Linked DNA regions of Tamandua tetradactyla. The protein of the gene in region 2 interacts with the protein of the main gene of each other region in a pairwise test. Links are inferred from orthologs where the notes say so. Each region holds a gene or a part of one and is shown on either strand. Other genes may lie near its edges.

Region 1 (7,455 bases), on a different chromosome or scaffold from region 2:
TCGGTGGTTGCAGGCAGAGGAGGCAGCCGAGAACCCGCACTTGGGGTGCGGCCACTCCTCGCCTGTTACCAGAGCCCGAGGCTGCGCCGGCCAGCCAGGGGCCACGGCTCTCCACTCCACTCCCTTGTACTTTACTCTCTTGCTCCCACGTGGGGGTTCCCGCCCAGCTGGCTCTCGGGGTGCCGCTGGCACTCACCCTGCGCCAGCTCCAGGTCACTGGCCTTTGCTTCCTGTGCGGCTTCTTCCTGGCCTGACCTCCCAGCTGAGGATCCACGCTCTGCACTCCTGTCTCCAGGAAACACGTTCCTGTCTGAGGCGCCCCCACAGCCGGGGCTGTGTGGCTGGCCCCTCTGCGTGGTGTCCAGAGGCCGGAGGGCCCCTACTCAGGGCCAGTCTGCCTGTCTGTCCTCCTGCCCGGGGCAATGCCCCCTCTCCAGCTGACCTCCATGACTCGTGGTCCCGTAATTCCTGCTAAATTAGGGGGAGCCCGCCCAGACTAAGCCTGCCGAAGTCCTGCAGGGGTACATAGACGCGCGGCAGGGCTGCACAGATAGGCCCCAGTTTCACGGTGTGCTAGCTGAAGCTGTGCTGCACCCCAGAAAAGGCCAGGTGCCTTCTCCTGTGGCGGCAGACCTGTTGTGGGGGAGGGGGGCATTTTGTTTAGGTGGTTTCCATGGAGATGTGACCCACTCTATTCAAGGTAGTTCTTGATCCTTTACGAGGGGATAAAAAGGCAGGAAAGGCTGAGAGTGCTTAGAGGGAAGCCCTGGGGATGCCAGGAGGTCCCACAGGAGCTCAGAGAGGAGGCCACAGAGCCAGGACTGAAGGCAACGAAACCCAGGAGCGGAGGCCGGCAGACGCGCCATGTGCCTTCCTTTCTTCAGAGAAGGTGTCAGCCTGCTGATGCCTTAACTGGGACGTTTTCATGGACTTAGAACTGTAAATTTATAAACTAATAAATCCCTGTTGTAAAAACCAACCCATTTCTGGTATATTGCCTTCTACAGCCCTAGCAAACCAAAACACAGAGAAACTACATTTCTACATCTTCTAAGTTTTCGCCCATGAACGAGGATTGCTCATGAATTAAGAAATGAACAAAACTGTAATGAGAAAATCAAAAAGCTCACACTGAGGGCCATTCTACAAGGCAACCGGTCAGGGCTCTGCAGCAGCGTCAAGGCAAAGAGAGAGGAGGTGTCCTGGATTAACAGGACAGCACAGCACAGCGTGGACGGAATCCTGGACAGGAAACGGACACTGGCAGGAAAACCGGCAAGATTCAGATACGGCTATGGAGGAGCTATGGCGAGGATTTGATATCAGTTTGCTGATTTCTCCAGCTGCCTGTGCAAGACGTGACATCAGGGGAACTCCAGAGGAGCACCCGGGAATGCTCTGCACTATTTCTGCAACTTTGCTGTATACCTAAAGTTATTTTAAAATAAATGAATAAAACTGAACTAGTGACAATGCAAAATACTTAAAGCTCCAAGAGCCCAAATCAGCCAAGCATGTTGCTCCTCGGCATTCGGTGGGATGCTCCCATGAGCACAGCACCCTGGGGGAGGGGGGCGGAGCACGGCAGAGCCCCTGCCCGGGGCTACTCTCTGAGCTGGGCACTGGGACTCTACACCTCCCACCCCCACCTGGGGAGTCCTGTCCGAGTGTCCTCTGTCCAGGCGGGACTGCTGACAGACACCATGTGCCCACAAAGGCTGCGGCGCCCCCTGGCCCGTGTGGGTTCTGGGGGTGGGGTGGGGCGCAGCACACACGCCTACCAGGGCCCTTGCACCAGACGCCCGCGCTGTGTCCGGCCGCCGCCCTCGGGTGGGGTCTCCGCTGGAGTCACCGACAGGCGGCCCGCCCTGCCGGCTTCCCTTCACGTTGACATCACTGCGCGCCCTTTCACCAGTGGCCAGGAGGTCAGTCCCGCCGGGCTGCCTGCCAGGCACCTAAGGCGAGCCAGGCCCAGGCCAGAGGCGGGACCCAGGAGCCGGGCCAAGCTCCCAGCAGGTGGGAAAAGGTCACCCAGAAGCAGAGACTTGGGAAGGCGTTTCCTGTGCTCTCCTTCTGCCCCGTGCATCTCAGCCGGCCTCGGTCTCCCCATCGGGAAAAGGGGCACCGACAGCCGGCTCAGGAGGGGACACTGGGGGCCCGTGCGGAGCCATGCTGCAGACGGGACAGACCAGGTGGGCGGGGCCATGGTGACAGGACCTCACCTGCCCTGGGGAGCTCCTGCCCCCTCTGCGGCAGGGACTGTCACACGCCGCCTGGCGTGGGTGCGCGTTATCAGTCGCCATCCTGACCTCTGAGATGGCCCGAAGACTCCCGGGGGCCTGGACTCCTCTCCGGGCACTCATGCTCGGGGAGGGGGTCCCCGCGGGCCAGTCCAGCCCCACCAGCTTCTGGAGACCCCCAGCCTCTCAGTCCTGTCCCCCCCCACCCCCAGCGGCCCGGCAGCCCGCCCGCCCGCCCCACAGTGGGATTTGTTTTGGAAAGAGGAAATCCACCCGTCCGCGGGGGCGGTGAGCAGCCCCAAGTGGGAGCGGCTGGTTCTGGGGGACAGCGGCGGATCCAGAGCTGGAGGGACCGAAACCACCGGGTGCCGCAGGAGGCGCGACCCTGCCCCAGCCCCCTGCCCTCTGCCCGGGCCCTGACCTCCCCCCGGCCCCTGTCCTCCACTCCTGCCCCAGCCTCCTGCCCTGCCCCAGCCCCCTGCCCTCCAGCCCTGCCTTGGCCTGTGCCCGTGACCCTACCCTGTTCCCCGGCCCATTCCCCTGGCCCAGCTCCTGCCCTGGCCCCCCCGCCCGGCGCTCACCAGCTCCGGCAGGAAGAAGGCGAAGGGGACGGTGGTGAGCAGCGCGATCCCCGAGGGCACCTCGGGCCCCTTGTAGCTGCTGGCGGGCGGGTCCCGGGAGGCCATGCTCGCACCCTGCCTGCGCCTCCCCGCAGTGCGACCGCCCGCCCTCAAATAGCCTCCATCGGCCACACCCCGCGACGTCGCGGGGAGGGCAGAGGCCGCCCGGCCCAGCAGGTCCCGGGGCAGAACTGGGGCGCCCCCTCCCCCCCCCACCCCGCCCCGGGCCGGGCCCAGGGGAGGGACGCCCTGAGGGGGCGGGGCTGGAGGGCACAGGACGGGGGGGGGGGGGGGCGGGTCACCTCGGCGGCCCTCCCCCATGCCCTCACCCCACCCCACTCCCACCCCACCGCACCCCGAGTTCTGGGCGTGGAGTGGCTCCTGAATCGCCGAAGCCCCGCCCCTGCTCCCGCCCCTCCCACCCTGCATCCCCCAGACCCCAGCTGTGGCTGCCCGGAGCCGGGTCCTTCCTGCGCCCCCGCCCCAGGCCGCGCCCCCTTGGGTTGCCCTGTTCCTCCCCCCTGAGAACTGGCTGACCCCAGTTCCCCCGATGCGGGTGCTCAGGCCTTGGGACCCCTCTGCCTGCCCCGCCCAGCTTCGGCTGTCCTGGCCTCGGCTGTCCTGGCGAGGACCAAACGGGGGAGGATTGCAATTTGGCGCTGCCGGCAAGAGGCCTGGAAGCCAGTGAATTCCAGGCTCCGCCCTCCAGGTGAGCCTAGCCCCACCCCACCTGCCACCTGGCCCCGCCTGCCACCTGGCCCCACCTGCTCACAGGATTAACCAGGCCAGGCCGACGTTTCCCAGGAGTCCACCTGTTTCACTGCTTGTGAAACCTGCGCGTGAACCCTCGGTACTCGCTCTGACTTGATGTGCAACCACATAGTGTGCACATCTTAAGGTAAAGAAGGAAAGCCACCTTCTCCAGGGGGCTGCCCTCCTGCGCAGCAGAGAGCTCACACAGGACCAGGGCCCCGGCCACTGCACTCCTGCGCCCATGGGGGTGTAATAGGAAATGGAGACATTGTTAAAACGAGGCTACTAAAATTGGTATGCTTTAAATGTTTACGTCTAACCTGGTAACAACTGATTATACGACTAAGTGCAGCACAGGAGCCAGGCTGCGCACAGGGAAACTAACTGTACTGCTCAGACGCACACAGGTGGGGAGGCCCCAGTAGGGACCGGGCTTAGTGCTCTCGGACCACCTCGGCTTCAGCACTCTATCCCTGGGGCTGTGGGTGTGGCCGCACTTGGAGACAAGGTCAAAGGCCATGTGTAGGCCTTGGGGAAGGGCAGGCCCGAGGGGGGGCCCCTGGACTCCCCCGCACAGGGCCTGCAGGTCCCCCTGCCTGGAGCTGGAGATTAGAGGGTCGTCCTGACACCCACGTAAGCAGTCATTGGCACCGCTGGCTGGAGTTCCCCGTTCTTCACTTGTTAGTTGGAGAGGATTAAATGAGATCTAGGAAAGCATCTGGGACCTGCTGGCTTATGGCAGACACTTCATAAGTACTTGTTTATCTGCTTGGAATCCTGAAACCACTTCTCTTCTGGCGATCGTTCCTTTCTACAGCAAGACCTGCACCTTCTCTGGTTAGTGTTTTCATTCCAATTAAAAAAAATTGTTTTTGTTGATGTATGACACACTCGTTGGAAAAGTGCACGAAACCTACAGACTGTGAAACCACGGTCCTGATCAGAACATGGAACAGTGGCCGTCCCTCCTAACCAGGCCTCCCTCCCCCGGGGGCAGCCGCTCTGACCTCTCACCCCACAGACGGGCTCTGCCTGGGCTGAAGGATCCTGTCTGGGTTCTGTCACGTTTGGCTTCCTCCACCTGCTGCTGGTCTGTGAGGCTCCGCTATGTCGCTGTGCGACGCTGTAGCTCACTGAGTGCTCTCTGGGGCCCCAGTGAAGGAGCCCACTACACTGTATGTATCCACTTTACACTCAGGGACTTTTGGGTTCTTTCTACTTGGGGTAATTATGAATAATGCATAGTACTGCTCAGAGCATGCTACAACATGTATTTGTGTGTGTACGTATGCACTTTTGCTGCGAGTGGAAGTACGGCCACACGGCATGTGTTTTTAGCAATAATGTCAAACTATTTTCCAAAGTAGTCGAACGATTTATATTTCCACCAACAATGTATGCAAGTTATAGTTGCTTATAAACAGTATTTGCATGCAGAATCCCCTTGATGCTTGCGTGGTAGACATTTTTCCATCCTTTTACTTCTCATTTACCTATAGCACTACACTTAGAGCAGCTTGTGTGTGTGTGCGTGCATGATCTAATTTGATTTTTTTAAAAAATCCATTTGAAAATTACTGTTTTACTTGGATGTTTAAATCATTTACAATTAATAAAATTATCTATATGCTTGGATTTACATCTACCATTTTTTGTTTTCTATTTGTTTGCTCTATATTTCATTCCTCTGATCCCTCTTTCTTGCATTCTTTTGGGTTTTCTCAATATTTTTAGTGTTCCATTTAAATTCATCTATTGGGGTTTTTACTTTATCTCATATTATTTTAGAAGTTGCTCTGGGAAGTACAATCTACATAGTTAATTTTGAACAATATACTCAGAATTAATATTTTACCAAAACCTTTCCACCATTAGTCCCTTTACTTTCTTGCCTTTAAGTTTAGCTGTCACGTGTTATATCTACATACATTCAAAACCGACAGTCAGTCTTGCTTTCAGCCCTCACATGTATTTTAAAGAACTTAAGAGAAAAACATAGTCTATTATATTTACCCAAATATTTACTATTTACGTTGCTGTTCTTTGTTCCTAAAGCCCCAGGCTTCTCTCTGGGGTCATCCTCTGCTGTCTGAAGACCCCCCGCAGCGTCTCTGTGAAGCAGGTGTGCTGGTCATGCACTCTTAGTTTTCTGGTCATGCTCTCTCCGTTTTCTTTCATCTGAGAATGTCTTTGTTTCACCTTCACTCCGGAAAGATATTTTTCTGGTGTTTAGAATTCTAGGTTGATAACTTTTCTTTCTTTTTTGTAGACTATGGAATTCTGGGTTGATTTTTTTTCCTTTCAGTACGACTCCTGGCCTCTCTAGTTTCTGATGAGAAATCCACATCATTCAAATGGTTATTCTCTATATGTAATGCATTTTTCTCTGACTGCTCTCAAGGTTTTTTCTCTGTCTTTAGTTTTAACTATTTGATTATGACATAGCCGGGCATGGATTTCATTGAGCTTATCCTGTTTGGTCTTCACTGAGCTTCCTACCTTTGTATCTTTCCCAAAATTGGGGGATTTTTCAGTCATTATTTCTTATAACATTTTTTCTGTGCTACACACTTTTTCTTCCTCTGGGACTCTGACGATATGAATATTAGACCTTTGATACTGCCCCACAGGTTCCTGAGGATCTGTTAATTTTTTTCCAATATACCCCCCTCTGTTATTCAGATTGGAAACGCATACTAATCCATTTTTAAGTTCACTGACTCTTTCCTTATCATCTTTATTTAGTCTATCAACTAAATTTTACAATTTTGGTTAGTATATATTTTCATTTTGGTTCTTTTTTGTACCGTCTGTCTTTCTATTCATTGCAAAGTGTTTGTCCTTACTTCTTAGAGCATAGCTACGAGAGCTGCTTTGATGTCTCGATTCCAACACTTGTATCACCTTCAAGCTGATATCGCTTTCTAAGTGCCCTTTCTCTCAACTCCACATCTTCAACAATTTCAGGCCCTTGTATATAAAACGAAATCAAAGACCCAGAAACCTTTTTTTTCCCTTTTAAATCAGTGACCTCATGGATTTTGTTTTACAACTTATGGAAAATGGTGTGATGATACTGCTGGTAAAACAGGAGGTTGGCAGCAGACAGACCTCCTCAAACAGGCAAGTTAAAGGGAACTGCCAGCTGTTAGTACCTGTGAAACGAGAAGAATTTGGTATATCGGAGGCTCCAGAAGCGCCCTACTGCCCGGACAAGCACTTGCTACATGAAGTTTAGGCTGTAAAAACACCACTCCTGAGCTGTCTCTCATCTAGATTTTAGCACCGTTTTTTTTTTTTTTCCATTTTGCTTTTTATGGACTGAAGTATATAAAAGAACCAGGGTCCAGAGGCAGGTGACGTAGTCCTTAACCTTGCTGAAATCCTTAAGTTCTTCATTCATAAACTTCACTTAAAGGACCAAAATTTCCAGCCCTCTTTTATAAAGATTCCTGCCCACATCCCTGATGGCAAAGACTCTCACTTCCCCATGGGTGACAGAGACTCGGGCCTGGATGGGACGGGGTGCAGATGGCTGCCCGCACACCTGGTCACACAGCCCCCCAGCTGCTGCTGCACCTGAAATTCCTTACTCCCTGCATCCATTGAGTCTTTGGCTTTGTCACAGCAATGCATGGTGCACTGGGTCAAGTGGTCCTGAAAATTCTCCAATTCATGGTCACCAGGACTTGGGCGAGAGCCGGAGGCGCATGGCAGTGCTCAGTGCACTGATGCACTTGCTGCATGGATGCCTGGCTGTCCTGGCAACAGCTGCGTTGCACCAGAATATGAAGCCCTGCATCTTCCGGATATTCTCTCTCCATGCTCTTCCCCATGGAGTC
Region 2 (8,033 bases):
AGAGGGGATTCCTAAGCCCTCCATGAAGCTCTCTGGTTCTGCCTGGGAGCCCACTGCCCACCAAAAGCCCATTCCTAGCCTGGGTCCCGTAGCTGGTGAGCGGCAAAGTTGGGATGAAGATCCAGTTCTCTATCCCCCAGCCCACACCTTTCCTATCCTTCCGTGAGTCTGTCTCCTTAGAACGAGGGACAGATGGACACCTACCATGGGGCAGAAACTGCATTCGGCCCTTCAAAGTTGTTATTTTTATTTTTTATAATAGCTCTTTATTTTATAGATGAGGAAACTGAGACTTGGAGAAGTGACTTGCTCCAGGTCACCGGTGTGAGCTGGGATGTTAGTCCATGTCTGTTTGATACCAAACCCTTGCCCTTTCCATGACTCTGACTGTCCATTCTGGAGTCAGCCAGAAAACACTGATTGGAATCCCAGCTCTGCCACTTGCTAGCTGGGTCACCCTGGGAAAGTCACTTCACTTCTCCAGGGCCTCAGTGTCCTCATTTTCTAGGTAGAATACCTACCCTACAGAGTTGTCGAGAAGGTTGTTAGTCAATGGAACAGTGCTTGGCACCTAGTAAGTGCTATGAAGGTTTTAGCTATTCTTAGTGTTTATTGAGCACCTACTATGTGCTAAGCTCTAGTCCAAGCATTGTGGAAATAGCAGTGATAAGCGCTATCTCTGGTCCTTTACTTCTTGCTTGCTTATGAAATAATGAAATAAAGCTTTATTGAGGACCATACTGGCTGTCCTACTCTGCAAGGGGCACCAAAGAAGCAGAGAATCTGGCCCTTAGGAGATGCACGTAGAAGACAAGGCACAGGCATATAAAAAGGAGAATGTGGGCACAACTACCATGTTTCAGGCCTCGGCTATCTCAGAGAAATGGACAGGAATGGTTCTGGTTCATCTCTGTATCCCCAGAGTACAGCCCAGAGGCAGGCACATAGTAGGTGATTTGTGAGTATTTTTGAAAGAAGAAGGGCAAGGCTTGCCACAGAGGTCCAGGAGTCTAGGGTAGGCCCCCAATTCATGTCAGCTCAGGCCATTTCCATCCAATACACATGTATTTTTGGAGCTGCCTACTCTGCACTCACTGACAAGTTAGACCCATACCTAGCACACTGGCAGCTTACAGTGGCAGGTAGTAAGTGTGGTTAGGCGAGGTGCTGTGTGAGCTCAATGGAGGGGCCTGGGGAACGGGGGCTTTTTCACATAGATGAGGGTATAGGGTGCAAAGGGAGGTCATTCCAGGCAGAGAAGTACAGAAGAAGTGAAGGTCTCATGAAAGGTATGTGGGGGCAGTGGCGGACCCCGTGTGGTTGGTGTGTATTGGGAGAGGAGACAGTAGTAGAAAATGAAGCATAAATCTAAAACTAGTCATCCCTTGAGCCTAGTCAGGGCTCCCTTGTTGTTGGCAAACACAGGGTAAACTCAGATAACCAGGGAGACAGTGTGAAGCCTGGCAAGGAGAGGCGTTCTAGATGGCCAAGCAGCCACTCCTCAAATATTTGTGCAGCAGAGTCCATGTGCAAGGTTAGCAAGAGACTCAAGGGAGAGGCGACAGAATCAAGTGACGATTTCAGCTCCATTTCAAAGCTGGAAAGGCTCTCAAATGTCGATTTTCCTCCCTGGACAGATGGGGCAAAGGAGGCCATTGCCCTACAATCACCCCCACCACCAGTCAGGACTTGGAAATAAACATCAGTGTGGAGCAATGGAAGGCACTAGGGCTTTGCAATCACACAGACCCCCAATCTGGATTCGAATCCTGCCTCTCCCACCTACCAACTCTGTGACCTTGGCCAGGTTACTTAACCTCCCTGAGTCCCAGCTGCATCATCTGTTACTGCACCATTAACAAGGACCCCCTCTCAGAACTGTCCCGAGGATGAAAAGAGACCATGCAGTACCAGGCACATAGTAGGGATCCGACCCTTTCTAGCTATTATTATTATTATTCTCTACTTCTCTGGGTCTTTTCTTCACTGATCTAATAAATATGGGTCAAGAGGAGCATAGAGTTGATGGGCAATAAATGTGGGATCCCTCCTTCCTTTATCTCATAAAGATAAAGAGAACTGTCTTGGTTGCACAGTGAGTCAGTGGCACATAGATGATACAGATGTATGTGATCCCTCGGAGGTAAAAATAATTTCCCAGGGAAATTATTGGATTTGACTTTGGAGCTCGTTTCTCTGAAATACAGGTGGGTCCTGTAAATGGTGCAGTGCCTGTGAGGTAGGCAGCACACAGTAGGTACTCAGTAAATGCTTGTGAGTGGAGAGAATGACCGATGCTATTATGTCAGTGGCTGTCAGCGTGACCAGCCAGGAAGCTGAGAGTAGACGTAAACATGGAGGGTAGAGGTCTGGGGGACAGTAGGACCTTTGGGGGAACCTCTTTGTAGTCAGCTGCCCAGTCTCAGGGGAATCGCAGTCCATCGCTCCAGTCCATTACCTTCCCCTTCAGAGAGGGCTTTGCTTCCAGCAGCTGCATTGCCATTGACATCTCCCTGCTCAAGAGAACAGAGTGAGGCCTGGCTTAGCATAGGCCCAGCCTCGGGCAGTCAGACCTCAGTGTTTTTCAGAAGGGGAGACTGAGGGCCCGAGAGTAGATCAGTCTTTTGGCCCCCATCTCAGATAGAACCACTGCTCCCTGACACTTCAGCATGCTGAGCTCTTCAAACACATCGTGCCTACTTCATATTTCCACACCTTTGCCTATAGGATACCTTTGTCTAGAATGCCTTTTCCTCTACTGTCTGCTTGGCAAACGCTCATCCCCAAACCAGCTCAGGTGGCTCCTCCTCAGTGAGACTTTCTCTGCTGCCCCCTCTGATAATGTAGCTCACACTTTTCCTCTAGCCTCCTGTCCATCTGGCTCCTCTGGCTCCCTCCCAGCACTTGCCCCTGAGCTGTGTAGGTGATTCACCTGCTGGGAGTGAAACCCTACCTAAGAGCAGGTTTACCTCAGTGGCTCCCGCAGGCAGTCTTAACATCTTCCTTTTTCACTGCCCACGCCTCACACCAGGGTTTGCTCCCGAGATCAGGTCAGAGCAGCACTTACCTGGGGGAAGATCTTGTTCATGTCTCGGACTCCCAGCTCCAGTCTCTAGGGACTAGAGTGGACTCAGGGTAGGCTCCCTGTTTTGTCACCAGGGCAGCCTGGGGGAGGGAGGATGAGAAGTCTCACCCCAGGCCACACCCTCCCTTGCAGGCTACCCTGCAGTTCTCTTCCAGCCCCTCATGGCTGTGCTCAACTTCCTCCAGGCAAAGGAAAGGGTAGGAGGGCCCCTTCCCCACTCTGTAGCCATTTTATGGAAGAAGGGCCTGAAGTTCAGAGAGGAAGAAGGTGCCCATAGGTCACACAGTAGTTGGGAGAGGTGAGATTTGAACCCAGGAACTTTTCAAGATGAGCTATCTCCTTTATATCAGTGATGAAACGGGAGGCTCTCAGTCCTCCAGCTGCATAAGATGCAAGCAGAAACAGCCAGAATTAACCTTTTGGTGGGTAAAAAGCAGAGAGTCATTTTTCATTTTCTTTTTTTAATTAAGTAGGTAAATCTAAGTTGAAAGAATACTCATTTTCCCATTGGACTCAATAATGGAAATGTAATTTTAAAATTATTTTTCTTTAGAAAGTAGCAATGTGCATTTTTATTTTTTCTGAGATGGTGCTTGAGGTGGGAAGTGGCATGGTGAGGGGCAGGTTGCTCACCTGAATAATCCCAGGTCTGAGAAACTTGTAGCAAGAGCGCTGGCTTTGGAACTGGCAGTACTAGCTTTGTGACCTGGGATAATAGGTCACTAACTTTTCTGAGTTTCAGCTTCCCTATCTACCTCTCTAAACTTTTCCACTTATCTCAGAAGAAAGCCAGTGCCTCACAGGTGAGCCTCTGTTCTATTTGTCCAACACCTGCCAAGCCCACTTTCTTCACTTGCTCCAACCTCTCCCCCCTTTAATATTTTTTCAGCATAAAACTTTCAAAACTTAAGAAAAATACAGAAAAGTAGGAAGAATAATGTAACAAGTAATTGTATGTCCACTACCCAGAGCTAACAAATGTTCACATTTAGTCATTTTTACTTCTGCTATTTTCTAGTATTTTTTCTATTCAGTACAGCAAAATTGAAGGTCTCTATCTTCCCAGTGCTATTTGCCTCCCCTCCCTCCCCAGAGTCAGTAAGTCTCCTAAATTTGCCCGCGTATGCTTCTAAGTGACTGATTTTTATACTTTAACTACGTATGTATATTTGCATTAAAATATCCAGTATCACCTTTGTGTTGTTCAACATTTACATAAATATCATCTTAGTGTATGTCTCTTTCCTTAGCCTGATCTTTAACACACATCTAGAATCACACTGTACGGGCATCTTCACTTTTACCAGATACTGCCAAACTGCTCTTCAATGTGACTGTACCACTTTGCACTCCCATAAGCAAAGTGAGAGAGTTCCTGCCTCCCCACAGCCTCACCAGCACCTGAAATTGTCAGATTTTCTGACATCTGCCAGTCTGGTCAGTCTAATTTGCCTTTCTCTAGTTATTCCCACTACTACCACCAATTGCTAACATTTACTGAGCACTTATTTCTGCCATGTGTTGTACCACATGCTTTACATATATTAATACATTCAATCCTCCCAAATATAGGTAATAAGGACCATTTACAGATGAGGAAATTGAGGCACAGAGAAGTTACTTGCCCGAGCTCCACAGCTGCTAAGTGGCAAAGTGAGGATTCAGATCTGGGCTGGCTGAATTGTTCTCTATCAAAAGTGTGGTCCATGGACCAGCAGCATCTGCATCATCTGAGTGAGACCCTGTTACAAATGCAGAATCTCGGGCCATACCCCAAACCTACAAAATCAGAACCTGCAGCTTAATAAGACCTCCAGGTGATTCTAAAATGCATATTAAAATTTGAGAAGCCCTGTCCTACACTATTATGCTGTCTTTTTATTTACTGGTCATATGGATTTCCTCCTTGGTAAATTGCTTTTCAAATTTGTTGCCCATTTTTTCTATGGGTAGTTTGTCTTTTTGATGGACTTCTTTAAGCTAGATTTTGAATCCTTTGTTACATGGTTTATAAATATCTCCTCCCAGTGTGTGGCTTGTCCTTGTTTAGGGTGACTTCTGTTAGTTCTTTTTCTAAATTCAACCATCTTTCTTGTCTAGGACCAGGTAAAACCTCATTCCTTACATGAAGCCTTCTTTGGCCCTCCCTCCTTCCCTGGATTTACTTTTCCCTACATTCCTTATGGTCTGTGCCCCCATCTTAAAATGGGTGTGGCTAGGGGAGACCCACTGGATGTGATATCAGCAAACCCCAGCTTGAATCAGACAGACCTGGATTTTCATCCTGACTGCAAATTGATACCTATCTAATTCGAGAGGGTAAGGGAGACTCTCCCTAAGCCTCAGCTTCCTCGTCTGAAGAATGGGAATAAGAAGCTCCACCTCGCAGAGCACAAGCAAAGATGAAGAGTGCACATACATGAAGGTGCTCTACTCCCTTTAGGTGTGCAATATTGTTTCTGAATGTTCTAATCTATTTCCAATTACAGGGAGATCTTCTTGAGGGCTGGGGCTACTTTTTAATCCAGGAACCAGCTCCAGGCTGGACAATGCTAAGTGGGCACTCAAACAGATTGACCCTGGGACCTGAGAGATCTACTTCTAGAACTGCCTAGAGGCGAGGCTCAGTGCTTGACTTGGCACTTATCACTCCTCCCATGTGCCTTCCATAACTCTGGGTTCCCCGCTGACCACTTTTCTTCTCCAAGACTGTTTCTTCAACTGTAAAATGGAGAAGTTAAACCCCATCCTGCCTTTCTGGAGAAATGTTTTAAGGATCCATTTAAGGTGATATGTGAGAGTACTATGAAAAATTTTGCAAATGTCATGGGGAATCAACAAACTCCACTGAGAATTATCTAGGTAGACACTTTTACAAGATAACATTATAATATTGTTTAATGCAGATGATTCAAATTTTATTCAAGTTTACCATGTGTAAGCATTATGAATTTAACAGATTTGATTTTCCAGTAATGACTACATGATGTTATATCTTGAGGTAACATTAAGAGCTTTTGTGAAACTTCTCATTTCTAATCAGTTGCTGATTTTTTTGCACCCAAGCCGTTCAATAATTGCTGTTCCAACATTGCAAAAACAATTCAAGCATAAAAAAGCACACAAGAGGCAGTAAAATTAAGCCCAAATAATATAGAAATGAACAAACAAAAATAATTTACTCTTAAAATGACAAAGGAATATTAAACAACCTCTAAAGCATGGGTTCTGTAAATTTGTATGGAAAAAGTTAAATCTTTATTTTCATTAATTTCTAACTGAAATACAGCATTTCCTTCCATTATGAATTTAGTCAACAAGCCACAATATTTTTAGCACTACCTGTGACTTTATCACCAATAGAAATCATAAATATTTTGATAATCATATTTCAGTTGGTGATTTCAAAACATTACCTTGAAATTGCTTCAAAACTTTAGTAGTTCTGGACCTACCACTATATTTTATTTTATGTGTATAAAAGTATATATATGACTGTTTAACAAAAAATTTTAAATATTTTGATAACTGTATTTTAATATAATTAGCTTCCTTTGCAGTCCTTCATATTTAACTTTATGCAATTGAAAACAATATTCTGAGAATGTTCATGGGCTACACCAGATGCCACCAAAAAGGTCCATGGCACACAAAAAAAATTAAGAATCCTTGCTCTAAACAAAGAAGTCACTAACATCACCTGGTACATGTATTTATAGTGAAATACATGTACCTGGTCTCAACAATACAGATTTCAGAAAAGGGATATATACTGTGCTTCAGAATTTAATTACTGCAAGACGTCCGAAAATCCATACTAATTGTACAACTAATCTCCCACAGGCTACCTGGATATACCCCCACACCCAGGCTCTAATTAGAACAGAGGTCAAAAAAAGAAAGATGAAAAAGGTTACTCATACTGATGATCTCAAATGCAAATATGACAGTCTTAGCAACTAGAAACCTGGTGGGGGGGTGAATTAGTGGATGGTGTCAAATTGCCTTAGCATTGTAGTTTTAAAAATATAGCCCCACATGAAGGAACTTGGTATCAATGGAGAAGCCTTCCCAGTTTGCTTGGCATCACTTAGATATTGACCAGTGCCCTTAGACCAATTCTAGGGTTACCACCAAAACAACAATGAGAGGGAACAGAGAGCCATATATATAGATAAGCGTTCAAAAATAAAAATGAAGTAAAATGAAAGGAAATAGGATTAATGGGAATGAGAAAAAAAAACTTGATAAGGGAATAGAATTTCCCATTTAGAGCAGGTTCTTCTCTTGCTACTTTCAATGTGGTTCTGCAAGAGGGTACAGACTGGATGACTACATAATTTAATGGATCCTAAAGGTTGATATTGTTGGCCTTTAGACCTTCTTCCTCTTTTCTATCCTCCTCATTGTTGTCTGAATGAGCCATTCTAAAACACTTATCTTTCTTGCTTAAAGGCTTTCAATGGCTCCTATTGTGCTCAAGATCAATTTTAGGCTTAATAAGTTCCTTTATTATCTGGTCCCTCCAATCCAACTATTGCCATGCTTTAGCATTTTACATCTCAGCCTACTAAACAATTTGCAACTCCCCACCCTTTTACCACTGTGTCATGAGCCTACTGTCTCTACTGCCTGGAACACTGCTCCCTGTATTTTGTCTGTCTTTTCTTTTTCTACCAGCTTTAAGTTTGGATATCACTTTCAAAAGTTAGGGGCCCTGCTACATGCTCCCCAACGCTCTGTGCTTATTTGGTCATAGCACTTATTACCTGAATAGTCTGTCTCCTTCTTTGAGCAACCTGGAGTCAGGCTCTGGGTGTTGCTTGTTGTTGCAAATTATCACCTACCATAAGGCCTGGTGTTTACGCTCTCAAGTGGTTGCTAAATGGGTCAACTGTGGATCGATAGGATATCCATGCAAAACCATTGTCTTGATGTGGTGGTGGTA

What was found.
Region 1: the proteins of LDLRAD1 (region 2) and MALL interact in binary tests that used the Homo sapiens proteins (3 or more experiments, as listed by UniProt). The two-hybrid records come from large-scale screens. The link is inferred for Tamandua tetradactyla from reciprocal best matches to the Homo sapiens genes LDLRAD1 and MALL.

Annotation. Positions count from the first base shown.
Region 1 is NC_135343.1:1,889,474-1,896,928, reverse strand, and holds the start of MALL (MAL-like protein), read right to left. Parts: upstream 3,068-7,455; 5' UTR 2,927-3,067; coding exon 2,822-2,926; intron 1-2,821.
Region 2 is NC_135328.1:167,435,384-167,443,416, reverse strand, and holds the start of LDLRAD1 (low-density lipoprotein receptor class A domain-containing protein 1), read right to left. Parts: upstream 3,089-8,033; coding exon 3,068-3,088; intron 2,514-3,067; coding exon 2,459-2,513; intron 1-2,458.